Linked DNA regions of Arabidopsis thaliana. The protein of the gene in region 1 purifies or fractionates together with the protein of each later gene. This does not show direct contact. Each region holds a gene or a part of one and is shown on either strand. Other genes may lie near its edges.

Evidence for each region.
Region 2: the proteins of AT5G67630 (region 1) and AT2G27720 fractionate together in Arabidopsis thaliana (co-fractionation; one large-scale study listed by BioGRID). This does not show direct contact.
Region 3: the proteins of AT5G67630 (region 1) and EMB2719 fractionate together in Arabidopsis thaliana (co-fractionation; one large-scale study listed by BioGRID). This does not show direct contact.
Region 4: the proteins of AT5G67630 (region 1) and AT2G18900 fractionate together in Arabidopsis thaliana (co-fractionation; one large-scale study listed by BioGRID). This does not show direct contact.

The regions. Positions count from the first base shown.
Region 1 is NC_003076.8:26,966,855-26,971,284, forward strand, and holds AT5G67630 (P-loop containing nucleoside triphosphate hydrolases superfamily protein), read right to left. Parts: upstream 2,547-4,430; 5' UTR 2,453-2,546; coding exon 1,704-2,452; intron 1,342-1,703; coding exon 681-1,341; 3' UTR 524-680; downstream 1-523. Other genes in the region: AT5G67640 (uncharacterized protein), read right to left, coding at 2,692-2,816, 3,061-3,387, 3,458-3,506, 3,590-3,694.
Region 2 is NC_003071.7:11,817,082-11,820,087, reverse strand, and holds AT2G27720 (60S acidic ribosomal protein family), read right to left. Parts: upstream 1,393-3,006; coding exon 1,305-1,392; intron 1,217-1,304; exon of another isoform or gene 1,171-1,216; coding exon 1,126-1,170; exon of another isoform or gene 1,083-1,125; coding exon of another isoform or gene 1,067-1,082; coding exon 834-1,066; intron 745-833; coding exon 718-744; 3' UTR 510-717; downstream 1-509. Other genes in the region: AT2G27730 (copper ion binding protein), read left to right, coding at 1-32; AT2G27710 (60S acidic ribosomal protein family), read right to left, coding at 2,418-2,444, 2,550-2,782. UniProt on the Arabidopsis thaliana protein: Plays an important role in the elongation step of protein synthesis.
Region 3 is NC_003070.9:7,000,540-7,006,118, reverse strand, and holds EMB2719 (PAM domain (PCI/PINT associated module) protein), read left to right. Parts: upstream 1-1,686; 5' UTR 1,687-1,808; intron 1,809-1,943; 5' UTR 1,944-1,964; coding exon 1,965-2,043; intron 2,044-2,136; coding exon 2,137-2,327; intron 2,328-2,518; coding exon 2,519-2,659; intron 2,660-2,748; coding exon 2,749-2,885; intron 2,886-2,986; coding exon 2,987-3,041; intron 3,042-3,129; coding exon 3,130-3,240; intron 3,241-3,607; coding exon 3,608-3,847; intron 3,848-4,197; coding exon 4,198-4,710; 3' UTR 4,711-5,032; downstream 5,033-5,579. Other genes in the region: AT1G20220 (Alba DNA/RNA-binding protein), read left to right, coding at 1-4, 92-166, 284-340, 448-504, 624-857, 938-1,029. UniProt on the Arabidopsis thaliana protein: Acts as a regulatory subunit of the 26 proteasome which is involved in the ATP-dependent degradation of ubiquitinated proteins.
Region 4 is NC_003071.7:8,187,677-8,194,186, reverse strand, and holds AT2G18900 (Transducin/WD40 repeat-like superfamily protein), read left to right. Parts: upstream 1-1,650; 5' UTR 1,651-1,777; coding exon 1,778-1,897; intron 1,898-1,973; coding exon 1,974-2,159; intron 2,160-2,246; coding exon 2,247-2,435; intron 2,436-2,536; coding exon 2,537-2,942; intron 2,943-3,077; coding exon 3,078-3,196; intron 3,197-3,292; coding exon 3,293-3,370; intron 3,371-3,509; coding exon 3,510-3,650; intron 3,651-3,743; coding exon 3,744-3,788; intron 3,789-3,871; coding exon 3,872-4,038; intron 4,039-4,216; coding exon 4,217-4,295; intron 4,296-4,381; coding exon 4,382-4,458; intron 4,459-4,554; coding exon 4,555-4,684; intron 4,685-4,769; coding exon 4,770-4,902; intron 4,903-4,985; coding exon 4,986-5,152; intron 5,153-5,237; coding exon 5,238-5,400; intron 5,401-5,481; coding exon 5,482-5,696; 3' UTR 5,697-5,950; downstream 5,951-6,510. Other genes in the region: AT2G18910 (hydroxyproline-rich glycoprotein family protein), read left to right, coding at 56-299, 592-689, 1,118-1,171.

The DNA.
Region 1 (4,430 bases):
TGGTTGGATTCACCAGCGTGTGATGTTTGTTTTTTCTAATTACTTGCAAGCGATGTGTAAATTAGATTAATTCAATCCATGAGTTTGGAACAATTTGTTTGGCCTTCTATCATTAACTCTTGTTCTACAAAGCCGTTTGTTTTGAAATCTTTATTCAAGAAATTCAAGGACACACGTTTATTCATAAATTTAGATAATATTTCACTAAATAAGTTGAAATTGACCCGACCAAGCAAAATAAATTCGTTACACCAAAACACGCCACCAAAAACCGATGAAGTCTGGTAAGAGAACACTCGTAATTAATTTACTCTGATGGTAGAGACTTGCATGCGTGTCAAATTTTGCGAACAACACACGCTTACATGTATTTAATGATAAGAGAGAGATTCACTATACTCGTCAATATTGGGCTTAAAGCCCATATAAAGTCTTAACGGGCCAGACTAATTTAGTAAAACCATCTCCTACAGTCTAGTCTAACCGAACCGAAATAAGTTGACCAAATCCAAACAAAATCAAATTTGTACCAAACCGATCTGTATTGAACTTGGTTAAATCATTTTCTAGAACCGAATCTCGTCACAACTTAAAAAAAAAAAAACATAAATCCGAGTTCAACATCCTAATCATACATATCACCACGAAACATGATAAATAAGGCAAACAGAGGTGGATCCTCAGATCTGCATAGCATCTTGTTCGTCTTCTGCAGCAGCTTCATCGTTTTTGATTGGTTCACTGAACATATACTGACTCTGATACTCAACAAGATACTGCATCGATCTCCTCACATCCAAGAACAGTCTGTAAACTCTCTGAATATCCTCAACCTCCACGACTTTCCCTTTCCGTTTCTGGCATGACAATGCAGCTGCGGTTATAAGATGAATCGCATACCTTAGAGATGTATCACGTCCGATCAATGTCAAAAGCTGTTTGGCCTCTTCGTTCATCTCAACGTCTTCCTCTTGGCAACGGATTTCTAATATCTTCCTTATGTCATCGTCTGTGTAAGGTTGGGTAGTGATGATGAGAAGACGGTCAAGGAGATCAATCGGGATCCCGTGTGGTGATTTCTGGTTTGTGCCACGGATTGTCGTCACTCCTCGGTTTGTTGCCACCACAAGGATTGGTGACATTTCGTTTTCTAGAGCTCGGTTAAGGAATGAGAAGCATTCGATGTCGAGCATGTGGACTTCATCAATGAAGAGAACTCCGGGAACTATCTCTGCTTTTCCTTCTTCTCTCCATTCAGCTACTTTTGTATCAATTTGTTCCCGGACTTCTGATCGGATTTCTCCAGTATCGCCAGTGAAAAGGGCAAGAAACCCTTGTGTCCTGCAAGCAAACAAAGAAGAAGTACACAAAGTTACTTTTTTTTGTTCTACCAATCATGTTTCAAACATTAAATTCCGCAACCAAAATTGGTTCTAACGATACCACAAACAGATGAGTTAGTTATAGTTATAAAGAGTGCTCTGACTACACACTGCTAAAGAAAATGAGCTTGAGAATTTCAAGAGCATATAAAGCAATGAATTAATCTCAAATTTGAGACATCTCATCTGAAATTAGTGAGCCAAATCAACTAAATTCCCAATCACCTAATCACTAAAACTTCAATTTTGCAACCTACATTGGTATTGCAGATACCAAATCATGATTACCAATGTTTACAATTCAGGGAATGTTAAAAGTACCTGCTGTTGATAACATCAATCTCGTGAAGAGTGACACAATGTACAACCTCTTTCCTCTTCTGCAACTCACCTTCAGGGCACTGCACAAACTTGGTCTGCGCACCCATAGCATCATAATCACGAGACCTCGAAAACGATCTTCCAAGCTTAGTAATCTTCCCAGTAGCTTTATCAATGGCAATAACATCACCACTCTGCACTTTCTCCTTGTTCAAAGCCTCAATCATCTTAGCTCCCATATCATACACAGTTTCCATATCAGTCGTTTTCATAGTCATCTTCCCTGACTTGGAAGCAACACCAGAAGAAGCAGGCCTATCAATCTGAACCTCAACAACTTCTCCTTCAATAACCTCTGTCTCTTCTTTGATCCTAACACCAATCGCTTTACGAAAAGACTGAGTCAAAGCTTCTGTCTTTGACATCTCTAATGAGAAAATTTCACTTCCTGCAATCATCGCAAAAGGAGTTTCCAAGCCAAGAGATTTCGCCATACCCATTGCAATCGCTGTCTTACCCGTTCCGGGTTGACCCGCTATTAGAATAGCCCGACCCGCGATTTTCCCTTCTCTAATCATCTGAAGGATTACACCGGCGGCTTTACGCGCCTTCACTTGACCGACCATACCTTCGGAAACAGCTCGCGGCTCGAGGGCAGAGTCGAGACCTAGTCCTCTGATGTGTGAGTGTGCGCCGATTCGCTCGACTCTGGTTAAGTCCCGACTCTCTGATAGCTTTAGTTCCGCCATATTCGATTATCGTCTTCGTGCGATTGAGGCGGAGGGAGAAGAGCAAAAAGTTAAGGTTTTAGGGTTTAGAGAAAAGCTACACAATGGCAATGACGATGTAAGAGTTAAATCCTCTTAACAAGGGCATAAAAGGAACTCACAAATCTTATAGACGAGAATTATAAATTTAGTAATATACCCTTGAATTATTAAAGATGAAGTAATTAACTCTTAGATAAAGGTCTGTGATAATTTGAACCCTAATTAGGAATTTCAGGGATTGCATTGGATCCATCCTGGATATTCTTAGAACTCTCTTTGGCCAGTTTCTTAGCATTTCTTCTCTTCTTGACTTTTCTCGTCTTATCATTGTCACCGATTAGTCCTACCAAACAAAAAATAAAGAGTCAGACGCGTAATGTAATTAATACACAAAAGAGAACGTTTGAGTAATTTGCACAGGACCAACAATGAGACAACAACTTGATGAGCTAGTAGATTTTGATTAAAGTCAAACCCTTGATCTGAATACGTACATGTGTTATGAAATCTAGTTAGATAAAGTACGAATTTTTCCCAAAAGATTTGAAACTAAGGATATCGTCAAAAAAGTCAAAAGCTGTGTGTACCTTCTTTCTTCTCTTGGGCATTTGGTCGAACAAGTTGTGAGCATATGTTGCTAATGCTCCCATCAACCTCTTCTTCGCCACCGTCAGAATCTTCTTCTTCAACATTGCTCCCACAAGCATCTCCGACACTTCTTTCATCATGGGTCTGAAGCATTTCAGTCGGAAGTAAAGGTCCGATGACTTTCTTCCGTCGAGCTGCTTCCTCTTTGAGCATCTTCTTCCTTAACCTCTTTCTCTGCGCTCGACTCTGTTTCTCTGCAATCCCCAATTCGTCTCCGATTTCTTTGTCTTCTCCGTGATTAGATGAATCGATTTTCAAGTAATCCTCTGAATAATAAACAAATTTGAATGTGACTTCCAAAGTGTAAATAACTTGTTAAGATTACATTAATCGTACCTGGGTTTATGAGTGACACATCGAATGGTTCGTTATCAACAACCTCCACCTGAAACAATGGCGGGAACATTTATCGATTCATAACCCAATCGAGAACTAACAAATTGACACAAATAGAGATTGAGAAAATACCGGAGGCGGAGAATAGGAAGGAGAAGAAGGTGGCGATGAAGGAGGATACAGTGTTTGAAGAAGAGCTTCGTGAAATTCTCGACGCTTTTCTTCTCGCCGTCGCATCGTCGGCACTTGGCAGCGAAATCTCCGTCTAATTCATAAGATGTGTAACTTTTTTTTTTTTTTTTGTTCATTATGTCCCTAAACTTTAGTGGTAACTGTATTACTACTCCCAATTTTTTTGATATAGTATTGCACCCACACAAGTCAAAGAGTTCACGTCAAATGTAACTAAAACTTTTTTTTTCCTTCTTTCTTTAATAAACACATTTTAAAAAAAAACACATTCTTATTCCATGATTGCAGGAAAAGTCGGATTCACGAATAGATCTTGCTAAAACGTCAAAACTTGACGAAGAAGCAATAAATGATAAGATCGAGATCGATTCTAAGGGATCGATATCGACAAGGTTTTGCAAGTCCTCCTTACAGGGCTTGAACACAAGCTCTTAGGGTTAGGAGTCCTTTTTTATAGGCTTTACACAAAACACTCTTTAAAACTCTTTAATCAATAATCAAAACTAATTACAATACTAAATTACGTCTTTTCAAATAAGAGAAAGATAAAAAAAAAAACTAACATAAAAGAGAAGCAAACGAATACAAGTACTAAAAGGCTAAATAAACATGAAGCCCATGAGAAACAAAACCCAAACAACGAGCCAGCCCAAACGGGACGAACAACACGTTCGTCTTTGAGATACGCTGCATCAGCCCTTCTGGGTTAGAAAGATTCGACCCAAATCTGAAATCTTTGAAGACATCCTTTGTCCACCAATTCATAATACTTTCTCTTAAG
Region 2 (3,006 bases), on another chromosome or scaffold:
GTGGAAAGAAGCAGCCAGAGGTCCAAGAGTAAAGAGATAGATTGATTGATGGACTTGTGATGAGTGAATAAAACAGGGAGTAGCATTACTCATTCCTCCCTTGTGAGACACTTTGGAATCAAATCTTACGTTGCTGCTACTCTCTTTGAGTCTTTTCTTTTGTTTTTGTTACTTGACACAGTTTTTTTTTGTTTCCGGTTTGTTGACATTTAGTTTCTCAATCTAAACTCCAGAGACTTATTTTCGCTCTCTTTTGATCAGAATTAGGTATATCTTTATTCGGATAATCCTTCCCATCCAAACTGAAATTGTTAGTACCAACATTTTTTTTATCAGAACATATCTCGAGTACTGTGTTGATTGGATTCACATATCTTATGTTTCCAGAATCTGAACAATACAAAGAGGGAAGAGTCTGTTTTACACTACACCAAATCCTTACTCTAGGGAATTCTTCTGTATTCTCTTTAGGTTTAATTCTTAGTAAGCGAGTGAATAAGAGAATTTACTAAAGATCGTTCATAAGTGGACTATTGAAGATGTAACTAAGGCAATAGTTTGAAATATAAATGCCAATCACAAGTGGACTGATGTTTGAGTAAAAAAATCTCTTGAGAATTTCAGCAAAGTCTAAGAAGATAGTCGAATACAACAAACTAAACAACGACATAAAGATTTCGAAAGGGTACAGCAAAACCAAATGCCAAGTATACCGCATTACTCGAACAAACTGAAACCCATGTCCTGCAAATTGACACAAAACACACAACATGTGAGCCATCATTTCATTTGAAGAGATAAAAAACTGTTGTCAGAAAGAAAGTAAAACTTACATCATCGGATTCTTCTTTCTCTTCTTTCTTCTCTTCTTTCTTGGACTCAGCAGCAGGAGCACCACCACCTCCTCCACCTCCAGATGTAGCAGAAGCAACCGCAACACCACCACCACCTCCTGATGGTACTGAAGCTAACTTCTCCCTTCCAGCAGCAATTAGCTCAGCCAAGTCTTTCCCTTTCACTTCCTTCAACAAAAGCTCAATCTGAGAATCCTCTGTCTCAGCACCAACTGCAAAATCAAACATAACAATTGCCACACTCCATCAATTCTTCCTCCACCACAATTACAGCAATCACCTATAACAACACAGTCCAATACCAACACCATAATGCCTCTTATTGCATCACACTGTTCATTTCCAGCAAACATATACAATTCCTAGTTCCAATAACATTTCAAGTTAAACAAATTCTCACTACTAGAATAATCATGTATACATTCCAATGCTCAAATCAAAGTCACGAACCTGATCCAAGAATATCCTTGATATCGCCAGTGGTTGGGGAAGCTTTCCCGCTCAAGACGGCAAGCAAAAACGCAGCAACAACCTTCATTTTCTGAAGAAAAACAAAAACAGATCAAAAATCAAACATAGTACGATTACGTAGGAGAAGAAGGAGAGAGAAATGGAAATGGAGGCGCTTACTGCGGAAGTGTTGATGGATCTCGCAGGAGGCGGAGTGAGATTAGGGTTTTTAGACGGCGATGGAGAAGAAGTACGAAAAAATGAAAACTATATGATTTATATACGCTTAGGGTTTTTAATCTTATCAATGTATCTCCGAATTTAAAATTTTATTTAGGCCCAGTTCTTTCAAGCCCATATTTATATGGGCTCAATATTTCGATTGACGGGTAATATTGATGTTGAGAAGAGAACGACCAGATTATACAATTCTCTAGTTTTATTTTGTTTGATGGATGGGATTTCACCTCTAACCTCGTCTTCTATAGCACCTTCTTGGTCGATGACATCAAAAGTAGCTTCAACTCTACACCTGTTGTTTCCGAAACATCGCCTGCGTATGGCATTTCTCGGTATATGTAGTTGACAAGTGATATGTTTTGCAAGTTACTAATAAATTTGTGGTGTCAAAGTTTTAGCATAGTCTAGTTATTTTCTCATACGAATTATGATGTATTTACATATTGGACGGCATTGAAGGGGGAACAATTCAAGACTAGAATTTTTTTTTTATCCTTTTCTTACAATAATACTATTCTTGAAGTCATACGTAAGCCGAATCTGAATCTAGGTTCCAAATGAACGACAACGTATCATTAGCAAAGTCAAGGCTAGAGGTATCTCATCACCATTCGAGTCAAGATTTAAGACCATGACTAGGACCAATGCTTTTGTTGGCTACTAAAAACTCCAGAGTGACAAAGGCGATTGAGATAGAAGCAGAAATGCTAACAACAAAGTGCAAATGACATTCGGGTCAAAAACTCTTGAGAATTTCAGCAATGTCTAAAAAAGATGATCGAATACAAACTAAACAACAACAACATATAGATTTCAAAAGGTTACAATATTAAAAGAGGACAACAAAACCGGACTTTTCATGCTACTACCAGCTTACTCGAATAGACTGAAACCCATGTCCTGCAAATTAAAAACAAAAACACACACAAGTGAGCCATCATTTTTAGGTTAAATTTCAAGCTACTATTAAGATCAAGACTTTTGTTAGAAGGAAAGTAAACTTACATCATCGGATTCTTCCTTTTCTTCCTTCTTCTCTTCTTTCTTGGACTCAGCAGCAGAAGCACCACCACCTCCTCCACCTCCAGATGTAGCAGAAGCAACCGCAACACCACCTCCGCCACCAGACGGCACTGAAGCTAACTTCTCCCTTCCAGCAGCAATCAACTCAGCCAAATCTTTTCCTTTCACTTCCTTCAACAAAAGCTCAATCTGAGAATCCTCTGTCTCAGCACCAACTGCAACACCAAACAAAAACAACAATGCCACATTCCATCAATCATCCCAAACTCATTATTGTATCCCATTGTTCACTAAATCATTACTCTTAACAATACTTACGCATCTCGACTATCATAAACACCGTTTAAGTCGATAGGAACCATAAAAATCCCTAATATACATATCATTTCAGCTTAAGCAAGTTCTCAACTATCTAATAAAGATTTCAAATCGAATTCTC
Region 3 (5,579 bases), on another chromosome or scaffold:
CAAGGTATTTTAGAGTCTCACTCTTAATGACGTTTTTAAGCTCCCTGCCCTGCTGTCTTTTTTAAGTTTTTAAATTATCTCTTTCTTGTAGACGGATCTCCTAGAGGCAGAGGAGGAAGAAGAGGTAGAGGAGGAAGAGGAAGGGGAAGGGGAAGAGGTGGTAGAGGTAGGATTACTTTAGAAATTGTTTATACAGTGTCGTAGTTTCGTTGTAAGCTTTTGCATGTGATTTGTGGATAAGCGTTTGAGTGGACTGTGCTAATTCCTTTTTTCGACTTATCAGGAAATGGACCTGCGAATGTTGAGTATGATGATGGAGGAAGGGGAAGAGGTGGCAGAGGTAGGATATCTTTAGCCAAATCGTATTTGAGTATAGATTTTTGCATATGATTTGTGGATAAGGGTTTGAATGTGTTGTGCTATTTCTTTTTTTGTTTGATTTACCAGGAAACGGATATGTGAACAATGAGTATGATGATGGAGGAAGGGGAAGAGGCGGCAGAGGTAGAATTGCTTTAGAATATTTCTTTCCAAATCTTAGTTTTACCTTTTAACATATTTGCATGTGATCGGCGGACAAGTGTTTGATTGGCTTGTGCTATTTCTTCTTTCGGATTTGCCAGGAAGTGGATATGTGAACAATGAGTATAATGATGGAGGTATGGAGCAGGACCGGTCATATGGCAGAGGACGCGGGCGTGGGAGAGGAGGTGGACGTGGTGGTCGAGGAAGAGGAGGTTACAATGGCCCCCCACCACCTTACTATGAAGCTCAACAAGATGGAGGAGACTATGGATACAACAATGTTGCTCCTCCAGCAGACCATGGATATGATGGTCCTCCGCCTCAGGGACGTGGTACGTTGATGATTTTGTTACACTAATGTTTTCTCATTAAATAATGATGAGTTGTAAATGTTTAAAAATTGTTGGAACAGGACGTGGCCGTGGAAGGGGAGGTCGTGGAAGAGGAGGAGGCCGTGGTGGATTCAACAGATCAAATGGAGCACCTATCCAGGCTGCTGCATGAGCGACCAGGGTCATTGAATGAAGTTGGATCTTTCTTACATTCTCATGTTTTTGTCTCTGTTCTTCAAAGCAACTTGTTGCCGTAGAATAATCTTTCGTTCATGTCGCTTTAGGTTATATATATCCTCATTTATTTTATCATGGATCTTGGATTTTCAAGTTTTTATTCCTTCAAGAGTTTTCTAGTTTTGTCTCTTTTTTGAGTTTTGGATATTTGTTTGACTCCAATTACATTCGTCGGCGTATTGACACTAACAAGTAAACAACCCCCTTTGGCATTGCCTTTTTCCATTGGTTCGTATATCAGTTGATTATATATTCTAACAACATAAAAAGATAACAAGAAAAAATAATGAATAATAAAATTGTAATTCCAAGTTCCAACGTGTTTTGAGACAAAAAGAAATTAACCCAACTTGCGCTGGTTGTGTTTTGGGCTATTCGAAGAAAGCGTACGAAAATAAGTGAGAGAGGTCCAAACAAAACTAGTAACCAAAAAGTTAATCGCCGTTGCCGGGGATCGAACCCGGGCCACCCGCGTGACAGGCGGGAATACTTACCACTATACTACAACGACATTTGTTGCTCAATCGTAATGTAGAAGATATAAATACTAATATGGAAAAAAGCTGTCTTGAACAAAAAGAAATATACTTTTTTTGTTGTGTCCAAAAAAAGGAAAATACTTAGGAAAGAAAAGAGTCTCAGCAGCATCAGCTCGTCCTTAAATCTGATCCATCATCGTCACTTTCTCCCGGCGAATTCCGTTTTATCGATTTAGTAAGCTCTCTGTCTTTATCTCTCCGTCTTTCTCAGTCAACAAATTGGTTGAAACTTCAATCGGTTCCTTGAAATCTCACCGGCTTAGTTGCATACTTCTGCAAAAACCCTAACCTTGTTTTTGTCTTTGTGAAGAGTAACGAGATTTGTGCAAAGATGACTCAGGACGTGGAGATGAAAGATAACAACACCCCTTCTCAATCGATTATCTCTTCTTCTACCTCTACTATGCAGAGTAAATCTCGATCTGAATGCTTTAATTCTCGAACTGTTTTCATAATTGCTAAGTTTCTTCTGGGTTTTGACGCTTTGTTTCTTTGTTTCCCAGATTTGAAGGAGATTGCAGCACTCATCGATACTGGGTCTTACACGAAGGAGGTTCGTCGTATTGCTCGTGCTGTGCGTCTCACTATAGGGCTTAGGCAGAAACTCACCGGCTCTGTGCTCTCTTCCTTCCTGGATTTTGCTTTGGTTCCAGGATCCGAAGCTCACTCTCGCCTCTCTTCCTTTGTTCCTAAGGTATTTGTGGGTTTTACTTCTTCACTTTGATGTTTCAGAATTCTCAACTTGGTTGTTCCTTTTAGCATCTGGCTTTAGGTTGTTTAGATTCGTGTTATGGTTGTTATACTTTCTTTTGATGTTGTGAATGGCAAGTTATCTAACATACAACTGGCTTAGAGACTGAAATATTGGAACTTTTAATGGTTTAGGGTGATGAACATGACATGGAAGTTGATACTGCCTCATCGGCCACACAAGCTGCTCCTTCTAAGCATCTACCTGCAGAGCTCGAGATCTACTGCTACTTCATTGTTCTTCTTTTTCTGATTGATCAGAAGAAGTACAACGAGGTAACTACTGCTGTATCTTTGTGTTTTGTCATAAGTTACTTTTCTGTTGTGATTTTAATTTTAATGAGTTGCTTTTAATCATCTCTTAGGCTAAAGCTTGTTCTTCAGCAAGCATTGCTCGTCTCAAGAACGTCAACCGAAGGACCATTGATGTGATAGCATCAAGACTCTACTTTTACTATTCTTTGAGTTATGAGCAAACCGGTGATCTTGCTGAAATTCGCGGGTTAGTAGCTCAAAGACTGTTTTAGTTTTGTACTTTGTCTTACACCTCATATTAATCAGTAGCTCAATAGTTAATAATCTGGTCATTTTTTCTACCTGCAGTACTCTTCTTGCGTTGCATCATTCTGCAACGCTAAGACACGATGAGCTGGGTCAGGTATGTCTTTGTTTAGCTCATTCAGTCGGCATTCATTATTTTGAAACTGTTACTTGCTTCTTATTCAAATTTATCATGTTGAATGCAGGAAACCCTTCTGAACCTGTTGCTACGTAACTATTTGCATTACAACCTCTATGATCAGGCAGAGAAGCTAAGATCAAAGGCACCTCGCTTTGAGGCTCATTCAAACCAACAGGTAGCTCTTGGCTATTCCTTCATACTCTAAGTTTTCTCGGTTCTCTAGATTCTATATTTGCATGAAAACTCCAATGCCACTTCTGCAATCTTTCCAGAGAATTATTTTTTCTATTCGCTATAGCATTTTCCATCTAGGAGGCTCTTGTGTTTTCTTTTCAATCACTAATTATTTGCCGAACTTACTTGAAGTGTCCATTTTGCCTGTCCTTTTCATACTTCTGACACCACCTCTTACCATTACCATCGATCTACCTTGTGTTTTTCTTTGCTACATATGAATTTTGTTCTTTTTTTAACCCTTCAATTGTTACTGTTTCAAAAGAATAAACAGCAAGATGACTTGTCTAAAACATTATACTTTGCAGTTTTGTAGGTACCTTTTCTATCTCGGGAAGATTCGTACTATTCAGCTCGAATATACGGACGCAAAAGAGAGCCTTCTTCAGGCGGCCAGGAAAGCCCCTATAGCAGCTTTGGGCTTCAGGATCCAATGCAATAAATGGGCAATTCTGGTTCGTCTACTGCTGGGTGAGATACCAGAGCGTTCTATCTTCACTCAAAAGGGTATGGAGAAGGCCCTCAGACCCTACTTCGAGCTAACAAATGTGAGTCCACTTTCATAATCTTGCTGCTGTGACATGTATTCATTAATTTATGAGCGGATAACTAAACTGGTATTAGTATGTGGTCACTTGTGATCTTGCTACTTCACTTCTGATTTTAAACCGGTTCCTACTTTTCACTTACTGGCCTATACACCTCTTCTGTTAAAATCTCTCTGTGGTCACTTGAAACACAATTTTGTTGCTGCTGTTGTTTTCTGCTCCTTCGAATTATATTGAACATGAATTTCTGGCTGTTTACTGTTGCTTTTTAGAGATATATGATGCAACTGGATAGTTGATACTGATTTTGATCTGAGGCTTACTATTAAAGCTCTGTTTTGATTTTACAGGCGGTTAGGATTGGGGACTTGGAGTTGTTTAGGACAGTCCAGGAGAAGTTCTTGGACACATTTGCTCAAGACAGAACGCACAATCTCATCGTGCGACTCCGCCACAATGTCATCAGGACTGGACTGCGGAACATAAGTATCTCCTACTCAAGAATCTCTTTACCCGATGTTGCCAAAAAGCTGAGGCTCAACTCTGAAAACCCTGTGGCTGATGCGGAAAGCATCGTGGCAAAGGCCATACGCGACGGAGCTATTGATGCTACAATCGATCACAAAAACGGATGCATGGTCTCCAAAGAAACTGGGGACATCTACTCGACGAATGAGCCACAAACTGCGTTCAACTCAAGAATTGCTTTCTGCCTCAACATGCATAACGAAGCTGTCAGAGCATTGAGGTTTCCTCCTAACACTCACAAGGAGAAAGAAAGCGATGAGAAGAGGAGAGAGAGGAAGCAACAGGAAGAAGAGCTTGCTAAGCATATGGCTGAGGAAGACGATGATGATTTTTAGACAAAGGTCATCTATTTCTTATAAGAGTTGACTCTCCATCTGTCTCACTTTTTTTATGTTCACAAGTTTACTTGGTACTCTTCTCATCGTCTCTAAGTGTTTCTTTATTGAGGATTTTTATCCTCAGGAACCTTTTTATTACTCTGGTTTCACTTTAGGAAAAGATATTTATCTTGTTGGTTTCAGAAGATCAAATTCAACTTCGTTTAATTGTGTTTGGGAGATTTTCGCATTTTAAGAATTGAACACTTGTAGTTATAGCTAGCTGTATTAGGTGGGTCATTATTAGAAATTGACCATGTGAAATGCTATCATCTCCAGGCGATGCATACCATTAAAATCCACATTCATAATTTACATTAAATGATAGATAAGCAGTCATAAATATCTAAAGAATGAAAACAGGACATGTGTATTGACCATTATGTGTATTGATACATTAGTCTATCTCTGCCAAACTAGGTCTCATTTTCTTGAATAAAACAATCTCATGTTATGCTTTTAATTATAGGTGTTTCTGGTTCGATTCATTAACTTCTTAATAATGACAAAAATCTGTAGAATAATACCCGGGCTCTTTGATAGCTACAACTGCCAACTATTTAATCCATACAATCAAAATGTAATTTTCATAATTGTAGATTTGTAATGGGTCAATATATTCTTACACTCTAATCATATCCAAACAAGCTCCTCAATTCCTTAATCTTGTTGTATCCAGTATCCATATTTTGTTTTCTTACTGCGGAAGTTACTTGGTAGTGTAGTCTGGATTTCGGATTGCAGACTTTGCAGTCCACGATTTTTCATATGTTGGTGACAACGAACAAGTGTTAAGTTGACGGAAGTGTTCGTAACAAACGACGTCG
Region 4 (6,510 bases), on another chromosome or scaffold:
AGATTCTTGTCTGAAAACTTTCTCTTTCATTTTCTCTCAATTTAACACTTTCAAGATGCCGATCAACAAAGACCCATCAACACCTCCTCCTGTTATCGGAAAAATCGGTCCTTACACTGTCTTTATGACTCCTCCTGCGACTCCTAAACCACCTGAATCTCCCTCCGCTGTGTCTCAGAAGCCTGTGATGGCACCACCGGTTCTTCCTCCGCCGCAGCAGTTTAAATCGGTGGCTTCTTCTGACCAGGACGGCTCAGTTTTGGGGTTCTTTAAAAACGCCGTCACAAAGGTTCAAAATGGTGAGAAATCTGATAAACAATTAACTGATTTTCAGCTCAAAGTTTCCTCATTTTTAGATCTTGAATTTGAGATTGATTTTTCCGATACCCTTTGATTGATTGATTAGGAAATTGAACTCAAAAATGATATAAATCGTTGTAAAGTTTCTATCTTTGTGAAGTGATTGGAAAGTACTAATGTTACATGAATTCTAGCTTTTCATACTGTTTATGTGATTTGGTCCTAAAAGCAATTAGATTGTGAATTTGACATTCATGTTGTGTGTGTGTGTTCTAATCCATTTGACTACAGCACATTCAAGTGTGGATGATCATTTGGTGAGGTGGTTTGGGTTAAACCAATCTAAGTATCAGTGGGCTTTGGATGAGTACTACGAAAGCAAAGAATCAGTAAGTTTTTTTTTGAGTCTCTATATGTTTCCTTTGAGTCTCTATATGTTTAGTTTCTTGTTCTTGCGGGTCCTGTATCGTTCTTTGTACTAGTTTCTATCGATAATCGATTCCTTTAGTCCGATTGATTCATCAGCTTTTTGTTTCATGTACATTTTGCGTAAGCTTAGAAGTAAAGCTAGTTTAAGTGTTTTTTTGCTCTTTGCTTCTAGGCTAATGAACATAACAATATACAACCAATGAAATTGATACAACATATTTGAAGCTTGATATTCACTCAATATCAGTTGTAAAAATTGTTCATTGGTATTTGGTAGTCAAAAATGTCATTGATTGGTTTTAGAGTTACTACTCTCTTTAGTCATTGATTTGCTTATGTTCCTCAAGTAAATCTTGTAGTTAACACATATCTTTTGAATCGAACGCAGGATATGAAGACCGTGAAAGCAAAGGAGATGCCGGGGAAAGTACAGAGTGTATAAGCAACCATGTATAAACTCATTTCCCCTTTGGCCAATTCTAAAATCTGTTTTTCTGAGAGAGTTCAAAAAAGCTTGAGTCTTGAGGAAAGTTCTCTTCAGATGATATTTAATCTTAGAGATTTCTTTTGGTATATTTCAAAACCTATGTAGTAGCTCTTTCTAGTTTCATCTAACAATGGTGAAATCTCCAAAGCAAAATGGAGAGATGTCATTGGTCATTTGGTTTGTTGTAAGTTTAATCACATTATTTACTTTTTAATTGTATCGTTATAATCTATATATTGTCTCAATTCAAAAAAGTTTGCTCAGTGTTTTTCTTTTGATTGTTGTCATACATGAAAACTTTTGCTAGATACCTCTCAAAACTTCAATAATTATCTTCATCAAACCTAACAAGGCCCATTACAAAGGCCCAAAAACATTATTGTTTAATATTTTCCGATTAAATAAATAGATAAAAACTGAAATGTAATTGAGCAGAAAAAAAAACAAAAGAGACGAAGAAGGGTTTAAGTTAGGGCTTTTGAAGTAAACCAATTTTGTGCGTCTCCCTTTTCTTCTTCTCTTCCCAATTTCACCGCCTCTCTCTATCGCCGGAAATTAACCATGAAACGCGGCGGAAGAAGCTACGTAACTTCACCTCCATCATTCTCCAACGACGCTAAAAAGCTTCTCGTCTGCACAGGAAACACTGTCTCTGTTTTCAGCGCCGCCACTGGCTTACAGGTACCAAAAATTTAATTCTTCTTCGATTTTGTTAGGGTTTCTATTCGAATCATTGATTGATACATTTCTGTTTTAGATTACTTCGCTTGAAGGTCATACAGCTCCAGTAACAACTCTAATTGTTGTTCCTGCATCAAGTCCTGCTCAAAAAATCCTTTGTTATTGTTGGACTGCTTCTCTTGATGGTACTATTCGTCATTGGGATTTCTCTGGACCTGAGCTATTGAAAACTATTGATGCTCAGCTTCCGATTTACTCTATGGTGAGTATAAAAAAAGTTTGATACTTTGATTAGGTTTTGTGAGTGTTTTGTTTGATGAAATGAATCTATGTGTTTTGTGTGTTTTAGGTTATACCATCTCTTTTGAGCGAACCTCAACAAATTGATAAACGTCGTGAGTTGTCTGGTAAGTTGGTTGCTTATGTTTCCGTTGAGGATATAAGTGTGGTTAACCAAGGGTCTAAAGAGTTGCGTGGACATATCCGAAGATTTAACCTCGCTAAGTCGCGTATTCCTCGTGGAGATACTTTAAAAGAGGTTAGTTTTTTTAATGGACTTATTTGAAAGAGGTTTGTCTTTAATGTTGTCTTGAAGTTGAATTGTGTAAGCTCAAGTTATTTGCTTATTTCTTTGTGTAGACGGCAGAACCAGAATCTATTGTTATTAGTCCCTCGGGAGAATTTTTCGGAATCCGTCACAAGTGTAAAATTCATATATGGGATGTTCCTTCTGGAGGATCAAGGCATGCGGTTTCAAGGAAGATGACATTACATCACACAAAGGTTATCAATGCTTTTGCTTTTCATCCCACGGAGAGAGTTATAGCTGCTGGAGATGTAACTGGAAGAGTGTTGATTTGGAGAGGATTTGGTAATAGAAAACTTGCCTTGGGTAATCAAAAGAAAAAAGTGAGAGCCATGGTTGATTTGGACAATGCTGGAGTGAGAGGTGAAGATGATGCTGAATCTTGCACTACATGGCACTGGCATTCTGCTGAAGTTAATGTCCTTAATTTCTCTTCCGATGGAGCATATTTGTATTCAGGTGCGGCCGAGTTATATTCTGATATCCATTGGATTTATGAACCGACATAGACTAATAGGTCATGAGCAAATTTACTGTTTGAAAGTAATGTCCTGACTTCTTACTCCATATTGCGTCTGTTTTCTGACTCTTTAGGGGGAAGGGAAGGGGTACTTGTCGTTTGGCAGCTAGACACAGGGAAAAAGAAATTCTTACCAAGGATAGGATCCCCCTTGCTGTATTTCATGTGGTCTCCAGATCCAACTCTTTCTTCTGTAAGTCGGAGCTTACTCTTTCATTCTAATCTAACACACAACTGCTGAAAGCAAAAGGGAATGTTTTACTGATTTGACTACGAATGAGAGCTGCAGGTGGTTTGTGCAGATAATCAGATCCATTTGCTTAAAATGCCTTCCATGGAGATCTTAAGGACCATTTCTGGAATCAAGGTTCGTCTTGGAAACTTAATAATTAAGGACCTGTAATCATTCTCGTCAGTTTTGTCAACGATTCTAGGATTCTAGAAACTCTCGCAACCGCTTTACCTTTTTCTTGGTGTTTACTTCAATGTGTGTTATTTTGTTACAGCCTCCCCCATCATTGCCTAGGATGTATGAAGGCTTGGCTAGTACTGTTGCCTTTGATCGATCTTCTGGCATAGCTGCTTTGTGCACAGAGAATTATTGTGTACAGCTATATAATCTTCTCAATGACCGGGGAATTTCAGAGGTTAGAATTTGGCTCCAATATATCCTTAAGAAACTCTATGCCACTTTCTCCTGTCTATGAAATCTCTAACTTCTTTAATCAATGCTTTTGCAGATTCAAGTTTGTGAGAGAAACCATCAACCAGGAGATGAGATCACAGTAAGTACATTTCCTTGCTGTTTATTTGATAGTATATCTAAGATTATTTTCGTTTGGGTGATAATTTGAGTAAACGGTAATAGGTTGTGGTGACAGCGGTTGCTCTCTCCCTGGATGGCTCAGTGATGAGTACAACCGAGGTGAAACTTCCGGAAGATGGAATAGGAGGCTTAGTGTCCCTCAAGTTTTGGGCGTCTGAACCAGACAGCAAAACTTTCACCTTATCCACAATCGTATATGAACCTCATAGGTTAATATTTCACCCTCTGCTAATGGATAAAGCTTTATTTTTCACCATTACCCAATTTTCTTGTCATGTTTTATTTCTTGTAAACCTTGCAAACATAGATTTCAATTTCTCTTATTTAGTCTACAAACTGTTATATCCTTTGCAGAGAGTAAATTTTATTTTCCTGTATATCTTACAGGGATGCCGGTGTCTCAGCCATTGTGTTCCACCCTACCCGCTCCATGGCAGTGAGTACATCATTCGGTGGTGACTTCAAGGTAGTTCTTAAACTGATTTTACATTTTTCTCTCTGTGTTTTTTGTTTGTTATTATTGTCTTACTGATATCACTTTTGCTGTTTCAGATTTGGGTATGCAACAGTGACAAGAACCAGACGGATAAAGACTCTAGCTGGATATGTCACGCTGTTGGCTCTTATAAGTAATAGCTTCTCTACGCGCTAGGAAATTTCAACATTCACAAATTATTCGCCTTGGCGATCAAATTTATATTCTCTTGCCTTTGAATATTTTCCAGGAAGAAACCAATGACTGCTGCTGCTTTCTCTGGGGATGGCACTGTTATGGCTGTTGCGGCTGAGAATGTTATTACACTGTGGAATCCAGATAAGAACATTCTCTTGTCTGTTCTAGGATCGACACTCACGGTAAAACCTATGAAGTTATCCCTAAAAAAGCTGGAACCTTTTTCCATAAAGACCAATGTTTAAACCTCTCTATATATTATTACAGCCTATCACGAAGCTCTGTTTCGCTGGAAAGTCTGAGTTCCTTGTTGCTGCATCCCATATTCCAAGACCTGAACTATCTGTTTGGAATACATCAAAGTTATCTTTATCATGGTCATATGGGTTACGCATAGAAGGTCAGTATTATAATGCTTCTTTGATTTCCCCATGAAAACTCTTGCTGTGGTTTACTTAGAAAATGCTTGTTCTCGTTCTATAGCTGTCACCTCTGCAGTGGATTCGTCAGCATTTGCAGTCTTGGCTGTGATCCCAAAAACTTTTAAAACAGATGAATCTAAGGAGAACATCTTCCGTGGTAGAGATGGTGCCATTCTTTTGTTTAACGGATCAGATCCCAAGCCGGTATCTATATGGACTGTGATGAAGGTATGACATAAGAAATAGCCCGTTAGTATTTAACCTTGGAGAGACAGGAAAGAATCCAACGAGTTAAACAATGTCTAAATTGCAGGCTAGGGGAGGATCAATCTCATTTTTAGAAGGAGATAAGTCTCAGCTTCGCCTTGCATATGTAAATGGAAGCCATGAATATGTTGTCTTTGATCCCAATAGTGATGAGTCACATGAGCGTAGCGCTGTTGACTACGATGGTCTTGCTGGTCTGGAAGAGACAGGTAGTTAAAACTTAAAACATATTTGAAAGAACCTTTGTTGATTATACCATGTTACTAATCGAAAAAGTCTCAACCTTTTAGGAGACGCCGGGTACACATCCTTATACGGGCAGTTACCTGATTATGACAAGAAGAGAATGGAGGATGTTGAGTCGTTGGGAACACCGTTTGTATCATCAGAAAGACCGTGGGAAACAATATTCAGCGGCTCCACACTAAATTTCCCGCCACTTCAGAAATTATGTGCTGAGTTCTTTGAGTCCCTAATGGAGAAAAGAACGGCCGTTGTGGAATGAGACCTTACACAAAAAGTTTTTTGTAAGGTTTATTATACAGAAGAAGAGCTCATTTTTGCAGCCATCTTTGGTGAGCAAAGTTGTTGAGTTTGTTCAGGAAATTTTGTAGCTCTTTGTTGTGAGATTCGGTCCAGTTTATTTATGTTGTTGCTACTCAAAAAATACAGGATTCTAACCAATTGTGCCATGTTTGACCCAAAAACGAAATGAAATATCACGACCTGCCTTTTTTTTTTTCGTTTCTAAAATACGGCATGCATTTATATATTTTAATGCAAATTGTTCTTGAAATCATAATGAGATTTATTATACTGAGGGTGCTTCGTTTTTAAATTTGAAAAATGTTCATGAAATCGTTATATATCCTTAGTGGAAATAAGCAAAATAATTTGGGGACTTTTTACTTTTGCTAATAGATTCTCAATAATTGTGAAACGAGTCAGGTGCTCCTAACCCACCAAAAGAAATTATTCCAAAATCCAAATATTTCAACTAACACCTTGCATTATTTTATTTGAACTTTGCTTGATAACATTTTGCATTATTAAGTTGGAAAATGGGAATACAAATAGATATTTCATATTTCGTGATTCGAGGTTCATCTATTATATATTTAGCTCTTTTGGTGGTCCAATATGTTGAGCAAATTATTCTTTAAGTACATGAAAAAGGTAATTGCTTTGGGGACACTTACCTTTTTATTTTTATTTCCACATGCATGTAGGACAATAGTTTGCAAGGTTTGTGTTACGTCTTCGAAAAGCTTTCTACTTTTGCAAAAAGATCATTGTTTTTCCTTCAAACAACAAATTAT